Drosophila melanogaster: one gene and its partner. The protein of the gene in region 2 interacts with the protein of the main gene of each other region in a pairwise test. Each region holds a gene or a part of one and is shown on either strand. Other genes may lie near its edges. The genes, in order: Abi and SCAR.

The links.
Region 1: the proteins of SCAR (region 2) and Abi interact in a two-hybrid assay, tested with the Drosophila melanogaster proteins (2 studies listed by BioGRID, with this or other methods).

Annotation. Positions count from the first base shown.
Region 1 is NT_033777.3:14,118,007-14,125,545, forward strand, and holds Abi (abelson interacting protein), read right to left. Parts: upstream 4,415-7,539; 5' UTR 4,272-4,414; intron 4,244-4,271; exon of another isoform or gene 4,107-4,243; 5' UTR 4,096-4,106; coding exon 3,740-4,095; intron 3,464-3,739; coding exon 2,841-3,463; intron 2,780-2,840; coding exon 2,689-2,779; intron 2,617-2,688; coding exon 2,605-2,616; intron 2,467-2,604; coding exon 2,279-2,466; intron 2,223-2,278; coding exon 2,059-2,222; 3' UTR 1,256-2,058; downstream 1-1,255. Other genes in the region: twf (twinfilin), read left to right, coding at 4,706-4,730, 4,790-4,867, 4,969-5,744, 6,029-6,181; 140up (upstream of RpII140), read right to left, coding at 6,499-6,856, 6,919-7,007, 7,069-7,234, 7,298-7,470.
Region 2 is NT_033779.5:10,972,897-10,982,771, reverse strand, and holds SCAR (SCAR), read right to left. Parts: upstream 6,001-9,875; 5' UTR 5,702-6,000; intron 4,875-5,701; 5' UTR 4,811-4,874; coding exon 4,066-4,810; intron 3,893-4,065; coding exon 3,791-3,892; intron 3,140-3,790; coding exon 3,059-3,139; intron 2,328-3,058; coding exon 1,660-2,327; intron 1,594-1,659; coding exon 1,344-1,593; intron 1,286-1,343; coding exon 1,107-1,285; coding exon of another isoform or gene 1,050-1,106; 3' UTR 377-1,049; downstream 1-376. Other genes in the region: piwi (P-element induced wimpy testis), read left to right, coding at 1-114; ATPsynG (ATP synthase, subunit G), read left to right, coding at 6,482-6,521, 6,611-6,870; abo (abnormal oocyte), read left to right, coding at 7,560-8,504, 8,562-9,236; CG16743 (uncharacterized protein), read right to left, coding at 9,542-9,875.

The DNA of each region.
Region 1 (7,539 bases), on a different chromosome or scaffold from region 2:
TCACGAAACTTTGAGAATTTCGACATTAAGTGGGCCAACTTGTCCGCATTGACGAGGCAGGCGAATTCTTTACGCCATAAACAAAGTGGCCAGTGGCCCCAATCCTGACATGGAATAATGTAATATTTTACACTTGGCCAGCAAGTAAATCCGGCACCAAGTAGGTCAATTAAATGCGGTGCCCGCAGAGAGGAGCCACCCCAATCTCGGCTTACATTTCGATTATGTAAAACACACAAATGATAAAAACTTTTCAAGCACCTCTGCATCGCGGTTCACTTACAAATAGTTTTGTATTGCACTTTATCCGCTCGGAAAACTATTCCGGACACGCCACTCGCCAAAAAAAGAGGCTTAAAGTCAAAACACACCGGAAACACTGGGTCGCCAAGAACGTTGTGGAGTAGAATCCGAAATGAAAGCGACTTGTGGAACCATTCGCGTCGACGTACCAAACTCAACTGAAGCGTCCGACTCGGCCTGGTCAGAAAATAACGAAATTATAGGCATGTCCAGGGGGTTTGGAATGGATTCCAGGTTGGGTGCCTGCTGGGTGGGCGGTGTTTCGACTCCTGGCACGGCACAATCAACCAACTATTGTTGTTGCCACGTTTTTTTACTATGGCATTGTTCAAATGCTAATGCGCCATTTTGCATACATTCCTGGCGGGTTCCACCTGCCGCTGGCCAGTTGTGGGTTAAAGTAGTCGTTCAAAGAGTCCGTCTTCAAGCTGTTCAGGTCCACTCCAATAATTGTTCACAAATAAAGGTATTTCCATATTTATGTATGTATAGTTGAGGGGCCCAAAAAGTGGGCAACAATTTAGCACATTTTATGCAAATCATGCCAGCACTCCACTTTTTTCTGGCATTTCCGCCACGTCAACTCCTCGAAACCTGATAATAAATTTAGCAAATGGGTAAAAAACCTTCCACATATCACCACGAAAGCATTAATTTACCCGGAGCCGAGTTATGGAAAAGTTTTCCGGGACGAGACATTGAATTGAAATCGGTTTGTAGAGCAAAGTGTCGATTATAATGGATTGATTGACTGACTGAATGACCCCAATGAGTGTTGGCATTTGCAAATATTTCAAGCCTTCCATCACACGACTTGAAATTTGCATTTGAGATTTCGAATTTGAATTTGGCAGGCCACAGAGCCTTGCCCCAATTACGGATTTTTACTGACATCCGGGGCTCGACTCACGAGAAGGTCAGCGCAAATTACACGGTCATAGAACAAGGGCTTGCGGTTTAGTAATTGAAATTTTTATTAGCTATTATTTTTACCATATAGAGCGTATGTGTACTTGTATTGTTTAATTTAATTTGATTCCTTTGCTGGCAATTCCATTTTAACTAAACGTTCGCAAAAAAAAGACATCGTTGCGGTTCGTAAAAGTATAAACAAAAGTTCCAACTGGCCAATACTTAAGTATTAAATGCTAACTGAAATTTATATAACCTACAGTATTGCTGGGGGCATAGGTTCGGGTAGTATTGGTGTATAATAGCCGGGCATATCAAAGCGCAAGGCAAACAGAAATCGCTTGATAAAACTGTGAGCAAATATTTAAAGTATTTGGATTGGCGGCAGGAGCAGGACAGAATTCGTCTACGGTTGTGGAACAGTTTTATAATATCGCATAAGTTATTCACGGGTATCCGGTTTCACTTTCCCCTTCTTGCATCGTTTTCGGCTACTAAAGTGTAAATAGTTTTAGTTGGGCAGCAAGCGGTATCCCTAGCCCGTGGATTCTGTGTGTTTGTGTGCTCGTTTATATTAGACTAAATGCGGTTGGCTGATGCTAATGGAATTCGCTTTCTCTGGCCTGCTGTGCTTGTGTAGGTGTGTAATTGTATAATTGTCCTTATTAATATGCTCAAAATCTTATCGTCATTGTCAGCTGAGTCTGTTGCGGTCCTCAGTCTAACTCTCCGATAACTGAATTGAAATTTTTTGGAGCTCTTGAGAAGCAGCAGAGGACTGGAACAGACCAGATGATGCAGATTATTGTAATGGTTGGCATGTTTAGAATATCGATGCGAGGCTTAGACACAAGGCTCTACGTAGTTGCCCGGAAACAGACCGGTAACACCATCCATGACGCCCTCCCACCAGCCGTCGTCGTTTTTCTTGAGCACGTACAGCACTGAGCTTTCCTGGAAGCTCAGCTCGTCGTCCTTGTCGGCATAGTAGTCGTAAATGGCTACCACTGGAATGTTTGTAAGAATTAGTAAGGTATATTGTTAGTTGCTCCAATCAGCCTACCCTTCTCAATGAAGTTCTTGGGCACCCAGCCGGGTAAGTTCTGATCCTCGGGCACTATGGGCGCCAGCTGCGGTCCCGTCGATGTGCGTGGTCGTCCGAAGTCTTGATGCTCATCCTCCGGCGGCGGCGGAGGTGGCAAGGGAGGCGACTGTGAGCCGGGACGAGCGAAGTTCAAGCTGAAGTGATTCCTTTGGAAAAATACGCGTTTAATATACAAGATAACATATGAATTTCATGGAGTTATACACAGTACAAACACGAAAACCTAGTATAACTTTTTTTAGCTGAGTATAACCCTATGATAAACAGAGAAACATGCAATTTACCTATTTGGATTCCTGGATTTGCACAGAGAACAATAAATAGGTTATATTTACACAAAGAAGGGATTGCATTTTCCAGAAACTTACCTGTTGATATTGCGTCCCAAAGTGTGCATGCCAATGTGACTCTGCTCGGTCATCTCGTGCTGCGAAACCGTAAGTGGTGAAGGAGGAGCTGCTACGAATTGCAAACCGCATTATTAGTATTGAGCTATTGCAGAATAATCAAATTAACTCACGTGGCATGCTGCTGCGATCGTCGTACGTAGTGGGCGGCGGTGGTGGCAGCGATTGCATCATGCCCGCGGAGGGCAGGTTTACATGTGTGGCTATCTGCTGGCTGGGTGGCATCGGAAGTGCACTGTAGCCAGCAGCTCGTTCATTGCCCGCCGCTCCGCCGCCTGTGGTGGTGGTAGTCATCGTTGAAGAAGCCGTCGACATTCGCTTTGGATGCCCAATAGGATAGTTGGGAGCGTAGTGCGATGGCACCTGTGGTGGATTGACCACAGGCGGAGTGCGGTACTCCCGCGAACTCTTGCCCAGTGTCCCGGTATTGCTGACCGACTTGCCCAGTGTGCCAGTGTTCCCAGCTCGCGACATCTGCGGCGGAGTTGGGGGCTTCGTGGTTGGCGGAGGTCCCACCGACGGCGGCAATAAGGATTGCACGGACCCATGGCTGGAGCCCCGATGTTTCTGTCGCACCTGCGAGTGCTGGGCCGAGTTAATGCCGTGGCCAATCTCGTCCAACATCGAGTAGTCGATGGGCTTGCGCACATACTTGATGGGCTTCTCCGGATTGATGGGCGCCACGATCTTAAACTGGCGCGAGCTCACCTTGTTAGCCGTAAGCACGCCAATCTCTCTGAGAAAAGACAATGAAGATAATCAAAAATAATTAATACAAATAAAGTGAATTGAAAAAACTAAATAGTTATGTAGGAAAAGAATGAAGAAAGAGACGTTCAGTCTTATCAGCACGTCTGACGACGCATGTATGAATGTACATTTCTTCTCTATGAAGCTTTTATCACCGATGAGTCGTACTTACAGACAAAAATGTTCATTCCGTATTCTTTGTCGTTTTAAAATATGCATATCCCCTTTTCCTATTCTAGTTTAAGCAATTTGTTGTTCTTACCTCCTGGCCACCTTCTCCTTGTGGATATGCACCGTCTGGGCGATGTGGTTCATCTGGGACTCCATCTCGCCGAGCTGCTGGGCCTGAAGCTCGAGGAGCTGCATGTAGCTATAGGCGAGCGTGTTAATCTGGTAGGCCACGCTGGCCAGCGACTGGGTGGTGTAGTTCTTGGTGGCCTCCAGGGCCGCCTTCTTGTTGTCCGCGCGGTAGTAGGTGTCCTCGCAGTAGTCGGCCACCCGCTCCAGGTTCGTGTAGCTGTCCCGCAGACTCTGGCGGCCATCGGGGATCTCGGTGCGTATCAGAGAGGCTAGTTCGTCCATGATGTTCTCGCTGGCCATGGGGGTTTCGGTCAACATGGGTGTGGATGCTGCGGGCAAACGGGAAACGAAAACCCAATTAAATTCCTCGCTTTTCCGCACTTTTCACGCCCGTAAACATTTGGGGCGTGGGCTGGCCTCTGCCGACGTCGACGCCCAGCTGCTCCAGTTGATCGCTGGAGCGGTTTAATCGGACGAATCTCGCGTGCACTCACTTTATTGACTATGCGATTGCACAACAGATGCTTTTCCGGGCTAGTTGCTACGTTTTAAATGCAGTTAAATGCAGTTTTTCATTACATTTTCCGTGAAAAAAGAAAGAACGCTGGCCTGTGCTGCAAAGTACTGGAGCTTGAAGAATTTTTCAACACTGTATCAGTGCAGACACATTTGGTATTATTTTTGAAATGTATGTTCTATAAAACAGAGTGTTAAAAATTTTCCCAAAATTTAGTTATAAAAATAGCATTACAGTATCTTTTTAATTAATAATTCTTTTTTTTTTACACATTTAAAGCCGCTTTGAAGTGATTGCCAATCAGAATCGGTACATATTTCCCGGTTTAGTATTTCCCTACTCGCGCTTTGCGGTCACACTGGTTGTGAGTAATATATTTTTTCGGCAATATTAATTTTAGCTGTTGTCCAAATGTCTCACCAAACGGGTATCCGAGGTTTGTTATCTTTGGGAACCACCTAATCCGCATCCTTAGAACACCCTTTGTATTTTCAGCCAACGAGCAGCTGGCCAAGGTGTTCGGCAAAGCGAAGAATGGTAAATTTCGCGTGATAAAAGTTTCGATCGAGAATGGTGAGTGGATTTAATCCAGAAACGTATATACACAAGATATATACTAGGCATACGATTTGATAACGAACCCGCATCCGTTTTCACCCCGCCCCAAATTACAGAGCAGCTTAGTTGCGGCGCCACGGCGGAGACGAAAAAGGATTGGGAGCGCGACTACGACAAGCTTATAGGTCCCCTACTGGAAAAGGATGTGCCCTGCTATATTCTCTATCGCCTGGACGCCAAGATCCCGCTGGGCTACAGTTGGCTACTTATCAGCTGGACGCCGGACACGGCCAGCATCCGACAGAAGATGGTATACGCTTCCACGAAGGCCACGTTGAAAACGGAGTTCGGATCAGCATACATCACAGAGGAGCTGCATGCCACCACTCTGGATGAGTGCACGCTGGAGGGCTATCGCCGGCACAAGCAGGATTTCGCAGCCCCAGCTCCATTGACCAGCAGGGAGGAGGAGCTGAAAGAGCTGCGAAAGACAGAGGTTCACACTGAGATCAATACGAATACGCGGCACCAAACTCTGGGTGGGATCAATTGCCCGCTGAGCGAGGCAACCGTGGCTGCCGTTCAGGATTTGGTGCGCGGCAAGCACGACTACCTTCAGTTCCGCATCGATCTGGAGGAGGAACAGATCCATGTTTCGCGTGCGGCCAAAGTGGAGCTCGCCGATCTGCCGAAGCAAGTGCCCGAGGATCATGCACGATACCACCTCTTCCTGTTTCGGCACACGCACGAGGGCGACTACTTTGAGTCGTACGTGTTCGTCTACTCCATGCCTGGATATTCCTGCTCCGTGCGCGAGCGCATGATGTACTCAAGCTGTAAGGCTCCTTTTCTCGACGAGCTCGCGGCCCTTGGCGTGGAGGTTGTTAAGAAGGTGAGTTGATATGAATGCGAGTGGGTGTGGCTGCGCTAATAGCACTAAAGATTAGGGCTATAAAAAGCAAAAGCAGGGTATATATTGTTTGTGATTTATTTATTGCTTTCAAATCGCCACATTCACTATACTTTTGATTCACGATCTCTAGAAATATTTTGAATCATAATTAGGGCGAATGTCTCACTTTTCACTTGAAATAGAAATCTGTAAATCATAAATAATGAGTAATTTTAAATCATACTAAATCTGATTCATGTTTCTAACAACGTTTTACATTTCAGCTTGAAATCGACAGCGGCAGCGAGCTGACCGAAGCCTTCTTGCAGGACGAGCTGCACCCAAAGAAGATTCTACACCGACCGGCTTTTGCCAAGCCCAAGGGGCCACCAAACCGAGGCGCCAAGCGCCTCACGCGTCCCACCGCAGAGGACTAAGTCTGAATCCCGATCCCACCGAGTCAATTCTGTTTATCGCCCTTCTACGTACTGTTTCCTAGCAGAGCATTTAATTTATTGTATCCAATCGTTTATTTCTTTTGTGTTGTGTCTATCCCGTGTCTATATGTGTCCGTACGTCAGTCGATATCTTTAGAGGCACTAGGCATCAACTGAAACATCGCATAGCAGCCGCCAAAGTGGGCTTCCTTAAATGTATTCTTGTCTATGTAACTTTAGATGGACATATATGCAATTTATTTAAATTAAAAAAAGTAACTAAGTTCACACTGGCGTCTTCTTTAAGTCCTCAGGACTCACTTGATCGTGTCCAGCGATACATGTTCGGATGTTTTCTCGTCGTGGGCCTTGAAAAGCTCTGGGTTTTCGTCCTCTGTCAGTTTTTTGAACGCCTGTTGAATGTTTTCGTCGCGATCGAGTCGCCATTTGTACTGCCAGTAGCGAACCTCTTCCATCGAGGTCCCTGATGCTTTCATCAGCAGCAGCGACGTCACACCAGCCACGCCGCCCAAGAAACCTCCAATGATTCCACCTGCCGCCATGCCCCGCAGACCAAGACTCACTTTGTAAAGCGAGCCGGTGATGGAACCAGCGGCCAAGTATTCGTAGATTGAGGATTTTCCACGGTACACCGACATACAAGTGATGATGCCGCTGTAAGGAACACATTTTTGTATCACACAGATACAGATTTGAATTCGTGTTGCTGAACTTACAAGTAGGATGTGGTAAAAAGTCCCACTCGCCAGCCCCATTTGAAGCCGCCTTTGGCAAAGTTGACTGTGAATTGATCTTGCAGCTTTTTCTGTAATTATGATTAAAAACTTGATTATAACATATTTAAATGATAATACGTAGATACCTACCTTGGCATCAAAGTGCGATTTAAATGCTGTGGCCTGGTTGTTCTCCATGAAATTCATGTAGGCCACGCGCGATTGTGTAACTCCGCCGTAAATAGCTCCAATAAGGAATCCTAGGAAGCCGGCCTGGTAAACCGAGTTAAGCTCGGAGGATATGCTGCCAAACTCGCTATTTAAATGTTTATGTACGGTCAGTAGATTTTAGTATAAATGGAATTCTTAGTTTTCCTACTCGATTGTAAACATTTGCTTGAGGCGCTCCAGTCCTGTTTCCTCTGGTGGTTTACTGGCCAGAAAGGCCTTGTATGTTTTGTTTTCCTTATCGACTATTTCATCTGCGGCGCCTTCGAATGTTGGCAGGATGCCTGCGATCAGAAACCGGCGTCCTTTCCACAGAAAATTCATTTTTTAAGCGTGTTAAATAACCAAGTAAAACGAGTACAACAATCTCAGCTGTTTGCCGGTCTGTTAGTG
Region 2 (9,875 bases):
ACCACACGAGTGCCAGCAGTTTGCCAGTACGCTAAGAAGCTAGCTACCCTCGTGGGTACGAACTTGCACTCTATTCCGCAAAACGCGCTCGAAAAGAAGTTTTATTATCTATAATTGGATATAATTTAGAATGGAGTATTAATCCTTACTAAGAGGCCATATATGAAACTAGCCCAGACATTTATACTTTTTCAATACTTTCTTACTTTTGCTAAGCACTTCAGCATTTATGACTAAATATTTTGTATTTGAAATGCATTACTGCTCTTTTTTCAAACAAAAGCAAAATTGAGGATTAAGATTCTGGTATTTAAGCATAAGACCAGAGGAAATTCCCAAACAAACATTTAAAGTTATCTATCAAGACATGTTCATTAATTTGGAATATAATTACTTTATTTTTTATTGTATATTTTAGTTTATGTAAAGAAAAATTACATACATCCATGTTTGCTTACTTAACCACACATTCATGGCTGCTTATATTCGTGAAACATATTTTATTAATTATACAGGTATTTAACTTTCACAAGGATAATACAATTTCATAGCTTGTTGAGTATACTGAAATGCTACGGAGTTCGATATATTTTAATGTGTTTGTATTTACAAAATTCTAAATTTTCATTTTGGATAAATGTTTTATATTAATCGTATCGATTGCAAGTTGGGGTAGGATTGAGTTCAGTGATAATATCGATTATTTATAATTTAATATCCAAACACCGACTACTATGATACAGAAGCCCATATCTACTCAGACCTTGACTCCAAAGAAGCGAACAAAATTAGCAAGTCTTTTAAATCGCTTTCCTTGGATTGTCGTCTAGGCTTAAAATGCAAATGCGTTCGTTCACTATAGCGATTAATTTAACGATAATTACTCGTTGGTGTATATACAATTCAATGAAACTTTTGATTTTAGACATATTATTTAGGATTAGGTGTATATTGTATAAAGGGTGGTAGAAAAGCTTTGGTGCTTTTGTGTAATCCAATTTCATACCACGCTTGGTTTCGACCATCGTATGGATTAATTCTCTTTGGAATTACTTCTTCTTTTTGTTTTTTAGAATTATGTCAGGCTTTAACGAGTTAATCAGGGATCAAGCCGATGTTTCGTTCGGTTCCATCCAGCCCTCGCTGTCGTCTTCGCTATCCGAATCCTCGGACTCGGATAATTCGATAGCCACACGTCTGGCCAAGATTGAAGCCACATCCAATGGCGCCGCGTTTCGTTCAATTTCCTTTTGCTCTGACTTTTCAACTTTACGTAGAGTAATACCTGGAAAGATTAATTTGATGATATTTTTGCATTCGAACCTTGAATGGCAATTACTTACCATCTCGAATGGCCTTCATCAAGTCGTTGCGTGGGTCATGGAATGGAGGCAGCATCTTCTTGGGTGCGACAATGTGAGGCACACCATTTTGTTGGCCGGGCTGCTGCATTTCGCCATTGGCCAGTGATTTGGGAAGAATTTGATGCGGGCGCAGCGTGTGTTGGTTGCCACTGCCCATGCCTTCCTCGACTGGAGGCGGTGGCGGCGGCGGTGGTGGCGCGGCATTAGGTGGCGACATCTTAGGCGAGTGCTGTAAGGTTTTGCCACAAATTAAACCAAATTGTGATATATTAACACCCATCAGTGAACAACAAACCTGATCTGGAACCGGCGGCGGTGGCGGCAAGTCGCTAAGGGAGTTCAGTTGATTGCCCGTCATACCGATGCTGTGGAAAGTATTGCTCAGTTGCGTCATGACCATATCATTGGCATTCTGGACGCTGTTGGGAGATCCAGCTCCCGACGAACTGTTCGCCCGGCCAAGCAGTTTGGCCGCCATATGCCCGCTGTTGACTCCGTTCATGCCAGACATTGGTGAAATGACGTCTGGAACTGGTGGAGGCGGTGGCAAGGCATCCCGACTGGTCGACATACTTCTGCCCCTTGTCGGAGTGTTGGCATTGGAGGCTGTGGGCGTACCACCACCGCTGCCATTCGATGGCGGAGCCGGTGGCGGCTGCGACGGACGCGGTTTGTTACGCGACGGTGTTCCCGGTCCGTAGATGGGCTCCGGCGACATCACTCCCTGTCCAGTTTGGCCGTACAGCGCATGCGACTGATACATTCCGGCGTCATACATCTGCTGATGCTGCATGTGCATCTGCTGGGGGCCACCCATGCCGTTGCCGAAGGTGGCAGCATACTGATTACCCATCTGCGGTGGAAGCTGCTCGTAGGTGCTACCATCGATCTGCTCCGACTGATAGCTTCGGTTCAATTCGATCGAGTTAGGACGTGGCGGACGTGTATCGTACACTCCCATATCTAGAATAATGAATGTGAGATATTAGAGCCGTTGACTAACCACCCATTAAAATGAACGTTTTTACAGGACACACATCTCATTTAAAAACACGCCAATTATTTTGTAATTACAGCCGAGGAACAATAAGACACATATGTAATTACAAGCAATTCCAAATTTCTGTGCATATGAGACCGCTGGACTCGAATAGAAATTTTGTTGAATATACAAACATCCGATTAAAAGTCTTTGTTAGCTCGTTGCACAGAAAACAATTTAGAGATACTTTCGTAGAATAAGATGTGGCGACAGAAAGGAATTAGTAAAGCTGCAGAGTGACATGTAGACGTAGATATGGAAATTGACTGAACTACAACAGAAAGATAGGAGGATCCTAAACAAAAACTGCGGCTCAATCACGAATCGCGAGTATGAAATGAATTAAAGTATTATGCAAAATGCAAGATGCATTGTAAATATAATGTGCACACACATTACATTAAAATTGCAAGTTAGAAGGTGACTAGTTTACAGTGTTTTGAGATAATAAATCTGCACTTTGCATGACCAATGAAACTCATAAATCATCGCCATTCCGATTGATAGTTTGAAAAAGAGAGTGTTCTCTGTACACACAAATGCTAAAGGAACTCAAAAAGGATTGCTAGTAAGGTAATATGGGGATAGAAGCGAGTGAAAGAACATATATAGTCTTTACTGAGCTTGCTAAAAGTGGATGTGGATGTCTAACCTGCAATCGCAACGGCGGTTTGCTTGGTGACATTACTGTTATTCTCCAAATGCGAAAGCATATTATAAGGCTTTACTGTATCTGTAAATGAGATGGTTATGCGCGATTGATCCATTCGTAATTGCAATGCATATTTATGTTCACGTTCATTAATATCATAACCGAAAACAACGAAAGAGTAGTTCATAAAAACAACATGCAAATAAATAAAAGCTGCGAAAAATAATCGACCATTCGGAGAATGAAATTGTAAGGTTCTCTGACCGTATTGTATTTACCATCAACAAGACGAACTTCATTGGAACAAAGTCAGTGAATTCAAATTAGAGACAAATCAAGTTCGAAAGTCTTGCTAACTTACAGGAGGATGAACTAGACTGGCCATAGACCATTTTGCTAATGGTGTAATAATAATGAATTAGATCGAATATATCCTGTATCTGAGATTTTAATCAAACTTTAGATGGAATTTATGTTAAGTACCATTTCATTTATTTTTTAAGCTCTGGAAACTTTGTTTCGGTCACCTTTCTCTGGGTCATGATTGTGTGGGTTAATTTCAATTAATAGCAACTTCAAAATAATACAAATTAGTGATCTTCGAACTGGGTTTTGAGGCGCATCGAAAACTAGCGAGCTTTTGAGTGAAGTAGGTGAATGAATGGCGGGTACATCTGTATCGTGGGATGTCTGCCGGGCGGAAATGAAAGCTACGTGGCCCCATCATCGTACCTACGTCTTGGATATTACCGACAACTTGGTGGTGCGCATCGAGAGTGCTATGCCGCAAATCGATGTCAGCCTCGCCCACAGTCTGTATTTTGACTAGCTGAACTACACGGGCAGACAGGACATAATTGATAATTAAAATAGATGTACCATTCAATAGGCAAGACAAGTGCAAATAGTCAGTGCGCGAAACGAACGTACCAATAACAGCCTATGAATTTGGTTCGCACTGAATACTTGGCTCACACGGAGACCAATCCCTTTCGCCAAGTACTTACTTCCGTATCCGGCTTCTTCGTTGACCATGGAATTCGGTGTGCGGTAGATGACGTTGTTGGGCATCAATGTTTCGCCGTGCACCAGTGCACGTTGTCGCTGCTGTTCGCGCGTATTGTGCGGCACCCTTATTTTGGTCTTCTGTTTCTTATTGCCACGTCCAGCAGCTCCGCCGGCACCGCCATCCTGCCGCGGTCTGTTCAGCTTCTTGCCCTTGTCGTGCATCACACGTTCGGTATCCTTCAGCATCTCCTGTCGCCACAACTCAAAGAAGTAGTTCGGATCCGTGTAGAACTTAAGACCATCCTTGCCATCGTCTCGATAGACATTAAGCTTGTCGAGGGGCGGCGGTTTGTCGCACTGGGCATATGTGTCCATCATTGGTGCCGGCATGGTGGCGCGCGAGAAGATCTGTTGATCAAAAACCTTGGCCGACTTGAAGGCCTTCTTTCGGGTAATGTCCGTCAAGGGCACCTCCTCAACTGTGCTGTCCAGCTGGGTAACTTTGATAGCTAGGCGATCGATGCGCGCCTGCAGGGAGTTAGCTCGATCCCCGATGTTGCCCACGTCGCGGGCCAGTTCACCGAACACATCCTCTGCGTGCTTGGACAGCGAGGACAGCTGGCGAATGATGTTCGTCAGCGTGGTGTTGGTGACCGTCTCCAGCTCCACGGATTGCAGCTCATCCTGCTGATACACGGAGCGGGCCACATGCACGGGTTCTATGGATCGTTTGGGCAGCGGCATGGTCGGGCGCGATTGACAATTATCTCCAAATTGGCAAACCCGTAAATTAGTGCGTCCTCATCGACTGAAAACGGCATTAATAAGTAATAAATTGTTTTAATACGAATTAATGCATTTAAAATTAATTAAATATAAAACCCTTTATTTACTGATTTACTACATAATCTCATGCCAAATTGGGATCAATAATAAAAAGATTTCTTTTTATGCTGATTATCAATTGAAGACATTTCATTCCGATAAAATTGTACTTCCCAAATTGTCGTTTAACTTTGTTTATAAATTTTCCCGTAAAAGTAGACGTTTAAAAAGTTAATTGGATACTATCAAAATTGGTTTAAAAGAAATTTTGTCATCACTATACTAAACCGTCTATGAACAAGACTCAGAATGGTATTGCAGAAGATTTCACGAGACGCTTATCCATGTATCCATGAGACGTGTTCATTACAATCACCAAAATGCCATTTGAATTGTTTTGTGATATGCGCGACTGACGAACTCGACGTCTGGACCACACCCCACGAAACGATACCCACAGCGAGGTGATAAGGGCGTAACGCCCAAGTCACCCCCGCAAGATGCACCTTGCAGTCCCGGCGAGATTAGTCGATAATGCCCCCCTTTTCGGTGGCAGTTTCTGGGTGCTACGACCTGGGGCCTTTACGTGGGCACCTATTCCATACGTGCATATACGTATATCGTCGGCGGCCTCCCACCAACGCAAATTAGACCGTCACGCACTCACACACACGCATGAACCGCAGCAGCAGCAGCACCCAAGTAAATGTACATACATATGTGTGGGACGGAACGGCTGACTCTTTCAGATTTTCGCACTGAAACATTCGCACTAAATCGCAACAATGCACACACAAAGGTATCTCTCACACTTTCTAATCGTAGTGGCTGCTGCGATTTTGATTTTGGTTTTGAACGGCGCAGCTTAGTTTTACACAGTCCACCTCACTTTACAGCATATCGTACACTCACCGCCCGTCACACTTTTCGTTTGGCGGCTGGCACCACAACAAACATTAAGCAGCCACTTCCGTTTCGGGGGTTCGGTGGCAAATTCGATCCGATGCGAACTCTAATTAGCCAATTTGGGGCTTGAAAACTGCAAATATTTGCTCGTTTTGTGGAAACTAAGATTTCCACACCTTTGCAGTGTGACCGAAGCTTTGTGGTTCGAAAATACTGCAGGGATTCATCATTTCGGAAAATCAGACAAATATACTGCACGATGCGGTGGGGAAAAAGTTATTTTTATATTAAATGTAATATGTATTTTAATTACTATATTTAAATAAATTTTGCAAGGGAATTTTCAGTAACTCATTTCATATTGTTTATTTACTGTATAGAATGAAATATTTTAAATATAAATATATATTCAATTTATTTTATTTTATTTTAACTCTATATTATCCATAATAAGCTATTTTATTAACGTTATTTAAAATTACTGTTTGCAGTTTCTTCCATTAACTTTAGAAATGTATATTTGGTATTTTTGGTATTTATCCGCCGATCGATAACTAGTGCTCCAGCCCTGGCCCCAATGCATAACATCTCTGTTTCGTCGCACACTGAATAGGTAAGTTTTCCGCACATTTCGTTGATTTCCTCTTGTATAATTCCAACTGCTTGCAGAACCAAATTGAAAAGATGGCGAGTTTGGCTACCAAGGGATCAGGACTTGTGAACAGTGAGTGTCGTGAATCGAATGCAATCGAATGGATACACCACCATTGGCGCCTGTCAATCGCAAAATTATGTAATGATCACTTTTTGCAGGGCTCCTCACACAGGCGAGGCCCCAACTGGACGTGTTCCTGAAGTACGCCAAGGTGGAACTGACGCCCCCGACGCCCGCCGATATTCCGGCCATTCGCCAAGGACTGGGCAACATCATCAAGGGAGCCAAGACCGGCGCCTACAAGAACCTCACGGTTCGCGAGGCCTGGCTTAACACCCTGGTGACCGCCGAGGTCATCTTCTGGTTCTACATCGGCGAGTGCATCGGCAAGCGTCACATTGTAGGCTACAATGTCTAAGCTTACTATAGTCTCCGCTTGGCAGTCACTGGAATGGGCAACGTAATCCCTAACAGATGTGTATATTTATATGTCTGCGAACATTTCGACTCTGAATAAAGTGAAATAGTAATTTAAAATTCCGAAAATTTTCGAAAAATACATTGTTTTTTGAAAACCGTTAGAACGTTTGCGCGGGATTTGTGTAAGCTAAAGATGAGGTGATGTAAAACCAAGTTTGGAATTAAAAGTTGACGATATTTAATGATAAAAATTAAAAAAATATATGTAATGTTATACATCAAATGTTTATGAAACGGTGTCGTAATCAAAGAGGCTAATGGTTCAGAAATACATAATATACTTAGAGCATTTAAAAGCACTCAAGAATAATTTTATTTAAAAAAAAAAATAAATAAATCTAAATTTGCTTTTCATAGATAATTCATTTACACATTTTTTTAAACAAAGTAAAGTAAGATGTATTGAATTATTTTATTTATAAATAACGTTTTTTATTTGAATCTTGAAAAGCATTAATATTATTATTATTATACTTATATTTTTTAACAACAAAACTTTTGTAGACAGAGTAAATTTTTGTAATCTAACTGCGGTCACACTTTACTTTAGTTACCTTCCGATCGGAAGAAGAACCCGGCTGACATTAGGAATAGGAACTTGGCAGAACTTTCCCAGGATCTGTCAGAATGGCCTACAAGAAGCGCCTACAATCGCAGAACCTCGTGCATCTGCTGCAGAACCGCGAGTCCGGATACACCAACGTGGGCCAACAGCCGGGCAGGATGCCGCTGTTGGCCTACGAGCGTCTCTTCTACAAGTGCATCACGCCTTGCCTGACAATTGACTCGATTACCATTCCGCCGATCTACCTGCGCAAGTTTACGCCGGATGGCAGAAAACTGTTGGCCTTCTCGCAGGATCAGCGCAGTCTGCTCATATACAGCTACGGGGGTTCTAGTTGTGCGGCGGTGGGTGAACTGATTCGCCAGGCGGATGTAGGCAGTGGCGAGTGCTTCAGTAGCCAGGACACCATACTCAAGAGCAGGATCTTTGAACGCCTGTTTCCCACAAAAGAGACGCTGAATCTATGCCAAGGCGACTTTGGCCTCTACTATCTGCACCGGGAGTTCAGTGTGTTCCTGGAAGAGGGTCGTTATGCCATGCTGGCTGCCATGACCGTTGTGCGCGGCGCACTGCCGGTCGATGACTACGTACGGTACCCAGATCTGTTCGACAAAGTGGACGCCTTCTCGTATGTGTTCTTTCTGGTGGATTTGAAGCTAGGCGTCGTCACAGATAGACTTATCCTGCCTAACGACTCCATCGTCATTGCCCACAATCATGGAATTTCCGTGTTTGGCTCAACAGTGATGATGATGTCCCGGCTGCATCAGTGCGTTTACGTCTATTGGGTGAATGACGGTAAGTTCCACCAGCAGGAGACTATTGGTCCCAGGCCGAGGGACTTTATCGAGAAGGCTACCACAGACTTTGACAATCTTGACGCCACCACAGTTTTGCCCATAACGCACATTAAACAGCGCGTCCTTAGCTTTCTGTACCGTAAAATTAATGATAAAAGTGGCAACCCGACGGAAAGTCAGAAGTCGTTTTATAAAAACTTTGAGTATGTAAGTAACATTATAAAGAGTGACAACGGTCTTCACATCCTTACATATCTCATTTAGATAGAACACATGATCATGGAGAGAATGCATCTGGTGAACAATGAACTTCTAATGTTGCGCTATGAAGAGCGGCCAAATGGTACCGATACCATGCCCATGGCTACATCACCGCGCCGCTTGTATGTATTCTACACCATAACTGGCGAAGAAGTGGTTGGCGTTTATCCGGAATATTCCGTCAACCTGCTGCAAATCTTACTGCAATTCAATGACTACATGAGCAATGATCGATCGCTGCAATTCGGTGATGCACCTTCATTGCCCATGCATTTTTTCCTAAGGCATACCTTTGCGGATTCCAATGAATCGGTCTCCGTCGATCGACATACGGCCTTGCGCTTCAACCCCAGCGTTCCACTCAGCTCCCAGAGCCTTTCCTCGTCGCCCTATCTAAAGTTCAACGAATTTAGATACGACAGTCGGTACGTGTCTCCTCTGGAGCAACCCCATCGCTGCTGCAACGATCCTATTGTGTTTCTTGACCGTGCCACGGATTCAATCAAGTTTAGACTGCACGCTACGGCCCGCCGGCATTTAAATCCTTTGGCGCCACGGGAATTGTGCGCCTTTATTTGGCATCCCTTTGACCCACTAGTGCTCAGTATCCAGAAATGCATGAACAGCTACGTCTACCACGTGCACTTGTATAACCACAGCACAATAGTGGAAAAGTAGACTGCCTAATATGTACATACATGATTTTGTACATTTGTGTATAAAACATATTCAAGTACCTTTTATATTATGAAATATATGTGATACTAAAATATCTCGTTTTACCTTTTCAGTAATGTCTTTATTTACAATGGTAAGAGAACATTTCTTTCTTTTATTTAATCAAAGACTGTGAAAATTGTGAAAATTCCAAGTACTGTTTAAATCTTTAATTCGACTTTGCTACATTGTATTGAAGGCCGACTTGAAACTTGAGGCCCAATCCGACGTTTAAAGTTTCATGTAACATTGTATCTCGACTGCGACTACGTTGAAGATTGGTGGTGACCGTCCTCGTTGTATTCCTTGTTGACCTTAAGGGAATGATTAATAACGCTCGAGCCGCCTGGAGGATAGTTCGGGGCAGGCCCTGATCCCGGGCCGCTGGCAGGCTGCTGTGCCTGAGGCTGATTGGGGATCGCATTTGGGTTGTTAACTGGATTCTGTCCGGGAGCCCCCTGCGGTGGATAGCCGCCTGGATATCCGGACGGGTCGGGTGGATACATTGATGGTGGCGGAGCTTGTTGCGGGTGTGGCGGTGGTGGTGGTGGTGGGGGCATGTACAGATTGTAGGGATATGAAGGATAGCCTCCCATTTGA